Linked DNA regions of Arabidopsis thaliana. The protein of the gene in region 1 interacts with the protein of each later gene in a pairwise test. Each region holds a gene or a part of one and is shown on either strand. Other genes may lie near its edges.

Region 1 (3,755 bases):
TTCATTACTTCGTGATATACATGTCTGACATGAGAAGTTCTTCCAAGCTCTTACATTGTAACAACCTAATTCTACAGACAGTACAGAATAATTTTGAAGAATGCTCATTGCAGTTTGATGTGGCGATAACTGAGCACTAAGGGAGGCATTGCCCGAGTCGATGTAGAAGATATGTGAGTGTTTCAGGTTGAAATTGCGACTGGTTTTTCACGGTTTGCCATGTAAGTCATGTAGATAGTCCATACATACGAAAATGAGTTGCTTACAAGAGGCTGCATGGAAATAAAAGCAAGAGCAGAGTGAGTGCATCCTGAGATAAGCAGCAAGAACACAAAAAGTAATGGAGAACGTAAAAGGATTGTCTTTTTTGTTTTGTGTCTTGAACACAAGAATGGCGAGTCAAAAGGATTACCTGTAAATGAACAGGGAAGAATCTGAATGTGATAAAATCACATAGAGGCCAATACATGACACCGTTAAAGAGCGCGGGGAGTAAGTCCCTTTTCAATCTGGCAAGTATAACTGAACCGCGTTCCCCTGAACAAATATCGGAAAAGCAGAATAGCTTAGAACATGTCCAAGATCAAACAAATCTGACATCAAGAAATGAATTCAAGAAGCAGAGAGGCGACTTGTTATAAAACCTATGTAATTCAGAGTAAAACTAAGAGCAGAAACTACATTCTCTCAGTTTTGTTAATTCGAGATTGCGGGTTTCTTCTTATCTAAATAACCAATCAATCACCACTTATCATTCTCACCATTGACACATACTAGCCACGAGCAAAACTGATTAAGAGTTGAGTAAAACTGTAATGGCAAGCAACAGTTCACAATAGATAAACTTCAGAGTTGGACGATATCACAATTTTGTGAAGAATTTTCAACTGAATTGAGACAATAGAAGAACGAAAAGATATGTTAAACGGGTTAGTCTGTTTCTTCCTATCCTAACACAATCCTGTTCTTAGATATATACAAGGAGCTTTACCTTGTAGGGATGCATTCAATGAGAAGAAAATAACAGTCATAATAGGCCCGTAGATCGTCTGTCCCATAGCCATTTTCTTAAACGTTGTGATCAAATCTTGTTTAGGAAAGAGTCTTGACATGAAATTGAACCAGTAGTGAAGTGTTGGACCCAAGACAAATAAACCATATCCTCCCATCCTTGCTGTTCTCACCAAGTCATAAGACTCAGAAGAAGTTTTCGCAATCGTCTATACAAAGATCAAAAACAAAATGAACCAACCAACGTCAGCTCTTAAGAGCAAGTACTCACACTGTAGAAAGCTCCAAAAAACCAACACACTACAAGGAAACGTAACCGTAGCTAATAGAACTCCTCAAAATTCACATTGCACAGAGCTAATTAAATCACCATTTCAAGAAGTCTCATTCCTCCAATAAAAAACCAAACTTTACTTCTCCTACTGTTTGATATTAGTATCAAAGACCTAGAAACATCTCCCAAACAAAACTTAAGCCATTTTATATTTGTGAATCTCATAGCTAAAGAGTACAAATTTCACAAAAAGACGTAATTTTTAGCTACCATAATTGGAAAAGGAAACTCCTTTTTCCAGTAAAAGCCAATTGCTAAGTTAGTACCTGAGAAGACAAGTCGGCGGCAATGTAAATAAGAGAGGAAGTGACACTTTTGGTCACAACTGGGTGTGATTTAACCATACCAAGATACCATCCAACGAACCCAATCCTCGACGGAGATGAAGAAGAAGAGAAACCCAAAGAAGGAGAAGGTGAGACTCCTGTTTCTTTTGCTCTTTCGAGAAGCTGACGTGACCGGAAATAAGGTCTCGATTGAGCAACTCCGGTCTTACCATATTGGTCTGTTGACGCCGCCGCGTTCCGCCGTATGAGCCGAGCGGTGTCGACGGCTACGTTCCTGAACAATGCTCTGCTCATTATGGCTTCCGAGATTTTAGGGGTTGTTGTTGTTGTTCAGGTATCAGAAAGCTTTGATGATGACTGCAAAAAATTGATAGATTTTTCCAATTTAAGTAGTTTCAGTCGGTTTAGCTAAACCGTACATATACCGAGTTACCCAAAATATCCGGTATAAATGGCCAAAAAACTCAACCACTTTATGGAATTAGTTGGGGTGGGCATTTAGGTTTAACTTCGGATTCGGTTTGAGTTTGGTTCCGTTCGGTTTTTTGGGTTTTGTAAAATTCTAACCAAACTCAACCGAAAGTAGTTGAAGTTAGTATGGTTTGGTTTGGGTTTGGGTCAATCTATGTTCGGTTTGGTTTGTTTTTAGTTCGTTTGATTTTAATTCGGTTCTGAAAGACGAATCAATATAACGAAACAAAACTATTTCGTTCATTATTGTTTGAACGTTGAATTTGATCATAGTTAAGTTAAGCAACAAGTTCAAGTTGCAAAATTTAAGTTGAATAATTCAAATAAGGGAAATTTGTACATAACATTAAAAAAACTTTAATTAGGTAACTAACCAAAAACAAAATGTATGTAATATTCTTTGTATATTCTGTAATTTGGACTATTGTACCCTTTATGTAAACATCAAACATACTTTTCATGTATCTTCTGTGTTTTCTATAGTCTCTCATCTCCTTCTTTTTTCTATATATCTCATGATTCCTTCATATTTATTTTGTTATGGCCACTATTTCTTCTTCTTAACCAAACCCTAGCCTTAGTATTAATACTGATTGTAGATCTGCTTCAGAGAGATCGAAGGACCCAAACGATTTTATCTTATTGTTGCCTTCACTACCGAACGATTCTTCACCAATTTTTTTTTTTCCCATCTTTTCATCATTTAATGTGCAATTTCTTAGATTGTGAATTGGTGGAGAATCGTTCGGTAGTGAAGACAACAATAAGATATTGAATTATCCTCACGAGCATAGAAGACAACGGACTTACGAGTAGGAAGGAGTGTGTTGTATTTTTACACCTCACATGTGCTATTCAATGAATTATGCATATTATAGTGTTAGATATTTAATAACTTTATTTAGAATGGTTTTTCACCTAATTCACCCTTCAAATAAACCAAAAAAAAAATTAAACTACAAATAATTACATATGTACTAATATACAATATTACTAATTAATTAATTAAATAAACATATAAGGTTATTGGTTCGGTTTGGTTTAAAACAAACCAAACCGAACCATTTCAGTTGAGTGAGAAGAAACATAACTGAATAGTTTGAGTCTAAGATTGGATTTGGTTTGGGTCGGTTCTGTTTGGTTCGGTTCGGTTTGGTTAAAATGTCCATTCCTCAATTAGCAGTGCCATCAAACTAGTTACAAATTATAGGTTCGGTAGGTTCCTTTGGGTAGTTGGGTTTAATGATTTACACAACACCGTCAATAATTTCTCCTTTGCCTATGATCAATTAATGACGGTTTAATATCTTTTTCCTTTTTTTCCCTATAAAAAAATTCTCACGTGCGTCTATCGAAATCACACTAAAATTTTCTTTTTTCCATGAGAAGTTTTTTTTCTCTCCGGCTAAAGGAAGAAGAGAAGGTACCACAATGCCTCCTCGCACGGGAAAGGATAAACAAAACCCCAGGCTCCCACCGGAGGTGACTCGCCTACTCTACATTTGTAACCTTCCCTTTAGCATAACAAGCGAAGATACGTACGATCTTTTCGGAAGGTACAGTACGATTCGTCAGGTTCGAATCGGTTGTGAAAAGGGCACAAAAGGTACGGCTTTCGTCGTATACGAGGATATCTACGATGCTAAGAAAGC
Region 2 (3,755 bases), on another chromosome or scaffold:
TCTCCATCTCTACCTCTGTCTTGGCCAAGTCACTGCCTAGTGTGTCGGAGACAAACCTGGTGACCTCAAGTTGACAACGTAGCTCATCAGCTAGGTTCATGCTGTATTGGCTTCTGGTGGGATCAAGAGGAAGGAACATACCCACATCGGCCAACTGGTCACGGAGCCTCCGCCAATGAACTTGCATTTGCTCTAGAGTCGCCTCTGCCTGCCTCCTCCTTTCGATTTCCATTAGTAAACCCAATCTCATCTCCCTTACCTCAGATTCAATGTTGTTAGCTGAACTCTGCATTCCACTGTCAGTTGATAGTTCTGGAAGCCAAGAAACAGTAACTGAATAAATTAAAACCAGTTTCTTAGATATACCAGTGAATCATGCATGCAGATTTTCTATGTCTTTGGAAATCTGATTCATAACTATCACGAATTCAAGATGACTATAAACACAGGAATCCCAAGCCTAAAAGGCCACTTCACAACCAAAATCACATACTGATATATGCATATAACACTTAAAACTAAAGGAGAAGAGGCTCCAAGAACTGGCAAAAAGTGATGATGCTAGAAATGTCAGACATCATAAGAATTTTCTAGCTATCTCGTGGTTAAAAAAGTTAGTAGGAAGAAACAGTACCATCGCAAGCATCATAAAACTCTCCAACATGTGTAGCAAGACTGTGTGAGCTTTCAGCTCTCTCGAAATCTTCTACCTCTGTGTTACTTGTGAAGCTTACTAATTCACCTGGGTTATAGAAATTTTCAGGCTCAAGCTCCTTGTCTGCTTTTATTCTTACCGGCTCCAATAAGTAACTTTGCCATTCTAAATTACTGGTAGCATTATTACTTCCAATCCCACCATTGCTGATATCTCTTCCCGACTTCTCGTTCAAAAATGTCCCAAGAGGGGGACTGCAATCCCAAACAGGACGTTCATGGATGCCTTGGGTGTGAACACCATTGGTGTGATCCACCGCAATAGCCTCGGTGATAGGAAATGATAGGGATGTGGACTTGCTCAAGGAGGCAGTAGCCTCCACATCTACATTACCACTAATCTTTTCCTCACCAGAGGTTATCGGGTGAGAAGGCCCATCCACCTCAGAGTCCCTATTGAAAAGAACAGGCCCACGAGCTTTGTGATTGATGATATAGGGAGATGGAGGGTAGGAAGAAGGCGAATTGGGATGAGGGATTTCTTTAGTAGTGGCATATAGAGAAGGTGACATCTGAGGACGAGTGAATGTCTTTTCTTTAGGTTGCTTACTTTCATCATTCAAAATAGACGGCTTTGACTGCAGTGTGCTTGGAAATTTACTAGATAAGGACGTCCCTGAATTTAGTGATCTACCCAAAGCGGCAGCAGAAAATGTAGGCATGACTCTGCATCATTGAAGATTTCAATTAGAAATCCACCAATAGGGATACACAACAGCGAGAGAGCGTTGTTCAACTAATAAAGTAATGAACATCGAGAGAGTCGATAACGGATAAACAAAAATCCAAATCAATGTCAAGCAATTAATAACCTATACAAACAAGCTAACAATCTGAGAGTTCAATTTCGGGAAGGAGCAAACCATAGAGTGCGAGATTATCAAACTAATCATTCAACATCAAGTAGCCTAAACTAAATTTAACAGAGATTATCACGGAACCAAGACCTTAATCATCAAATCGAACAGTCAGCAGCTAGCAAAATCACTCGATAGAAATAGTTACCTCGCGACAGAGCATCAATCGGAGAAGACGAAACGAAAAGATCAACGCAGACGGAGGAAGAAGAGACGATCGATTGATGGTAGATTGATATGACATGGTGCGAAAAAAGAGCAAACAGAGATTAGATATATACTGAGGAGGAGAGAAAAAAGAGAAACCTCTTCTCCAAGGCTTTAGTCGCAACAAACTCTTAATTTAAACCTCTTCACCAAGGCTTTCATTCGCAACGACCGCGTATCACGCTGGGTTTTGGGGAATCACCGGAACGGCTGCGTTTTGATGGGGTTTTGTATGTTTAGTGACGTGGCATCTCCTGGTGTTTCGGGTAGGCTTTTGTAGTCATCAGGGGCCCCACTGTGTTTATTCGTAAATTTGTAAACCCAGTCTGATTACTGATAACAAGTAATAAACCGAGAATTTTTCTTACTATCAAACTGTAAACTTAAATTACATGGATTTGTCCACAAAGAAGCAGAATCATGGCTTATGGACGAGCTTTCTACTTTGATGTATGTATGTATTCATCCTTCTTATTCAAATAGAAAGGTATATCACAAATCGAAAATAAATATAAACAACCTCTGTGAAATCTCTTTCTCCGATCTATCTGTAATATATGGCAGGTCCATTTGAAGTGTTATCCCAAACACCTCCTTCCTTGACATACTCCAAGTACCTAGCGAATTCTGGTTTTGCAGTCGTCGTGCTCTTCTTCTTCTTCTTCCTCTTTAGACTCATTTCGAAGAAACTAAATAGAGGGTGAGCCGAACCCCTGGTTTTCTCCACCGGTTTATTCACCTTCGGGGATTGACCATGGGGATTTGTAGGAACGCTCTCCGGTTTCACTTCTAAAAGCCCTGCGCCTGCTTCTTCTTCGTCGCCGAGCTTCTTGTAGCTGCCTCGAACCTTCCTCGTGCTCAGCGCTCTAATCATTATTTCTTGTGGTTTTGATCAATTCTCTCTGGTGATATGTTTTTAAGAAAGGATAGATTTTGAAAAGGACACATCTTTTGACTTCTCTTCTCCTTATCCCAACGACTCCTTTAACTTAAACCTTATGTGACATTGCCCTTTCACCTACTACTATTCGTGGGTCAATGCTACTTTATTTTTGACTATGTCTTCTTTGGTGTTTGACTTAATTAGGACAACGAGACAGTTCCACAACAATGCTTTAGACTTTAGTGGACTTGCTCTGTTTCTTGACACAAAAACAGTAGCTCAAGTGTAGTGTAATGCTGAAAAAACAAAGCAATTCATATGAATAAGCTGTGTCCTGCTGTTTTAACCAAACCTTTATTCTTCAGTTTTCCTCTCAATTCTTCAACGACATCCCACTTCCCCATCGCTGCATAGAAATTCGAAACCAACACATAAATGCTCGCGTTCTCTGGACCCGTCTCTTCCATAAGCCTCCTTGCTACATATTCGCCTCGCGTAAGATCCATATTAAGACTACAAGCACTGAGTACCGCTACCCATATAGCACAAGGAATGCTTTGATTATCGTTCTCCATCATTCTCTCGACTAATCTCCATATCTCTTCTGTCTCACCAGCCTTGCTTAAGATATCGATGAAGCATACGTAATGCTCTGTTCCAGGAACCAACCGATACTTCTCCTTCATCATACCAAAACATTCCTTACCTTCTTTAACTAGTCCTGCGTGTGCACAAGCCGATATAACAACAAGAAATGTCACTGAATTCGGTAAAACTCCGCTTCCTTCTTCACACATTTCCCTGAAGATTTCAAGAGCTTTAACCCCATCCCCATTAACCGCATACGCATCTATCATACTCGTCCAAGAAACCACACTTTTAGATGGAATAGCTCTGAAAATAGTACGCGCTTGCACAATCTGACCGCATTTTCCATACATATCCATTAAGCCATTGCATAGCTTAGAATCTGAAACGAAACCATTACGTAAAGCGACACAGTGTATCTGTTTACCAATCCACAGATCAGAGTTATCAGAGCAGCCAGCAAGAGAGCTACTGAGCACTCTCACATTGGGTCTCTGCCTACTCAT

Evidence for each region.
Region 2: the proteins of AT2G14860 (region 1) and AT5G66480 interact in a two-hybrid assay, tested with the Arabidopsis thaliana proteins (one large-scale study listed by BioGRID).

What each region holds. Positions count from the first base shown.
Region 1 is NC_003071.7:6,387,638-6,391,392, forward strand, and holds the start of AT2G14860 (Peroxisomal membrane 22 kDa (Mpv17/PMP22) family protein), read right to left. Parts: upstream 2,032-3,755; 5' UTR 1,927-2,031; coding exon 1,612-1,926; intron 1,221-1,611; coding exon 992-1,220; intron 538-991; coding exon 413-537; intron 273-412; coding exon 183-272; 3' UTR 1-182. Other genes in the region: AT2G14870 (RNA-binding (RRM/RBD/RNP motifs) family protein), read left to right, coding at 3,535-3,755.
Region 2 is NC_003076.8:26,545,101-26,548,855, forward strand, and holds the start of AT5G66480 (bacteriophage N4 adsorption B protein), read right to left. Parts: upstream 1,901-3,755; 5' UTR 1,720-1,900; intron 1,381-1,719; 5' UTR 1,377-1,380; coding exon 635-1,376; intron 313-634; coding exon 1-312. Other genes in the region: AT5G66490 (uncharacterized protein), read right to left, coding at 2,323-2,652; AT5G66500 (Tetratricopeptide repeat (TPR)-like superfamily protein), read right to left, coding at 2,976-3,755.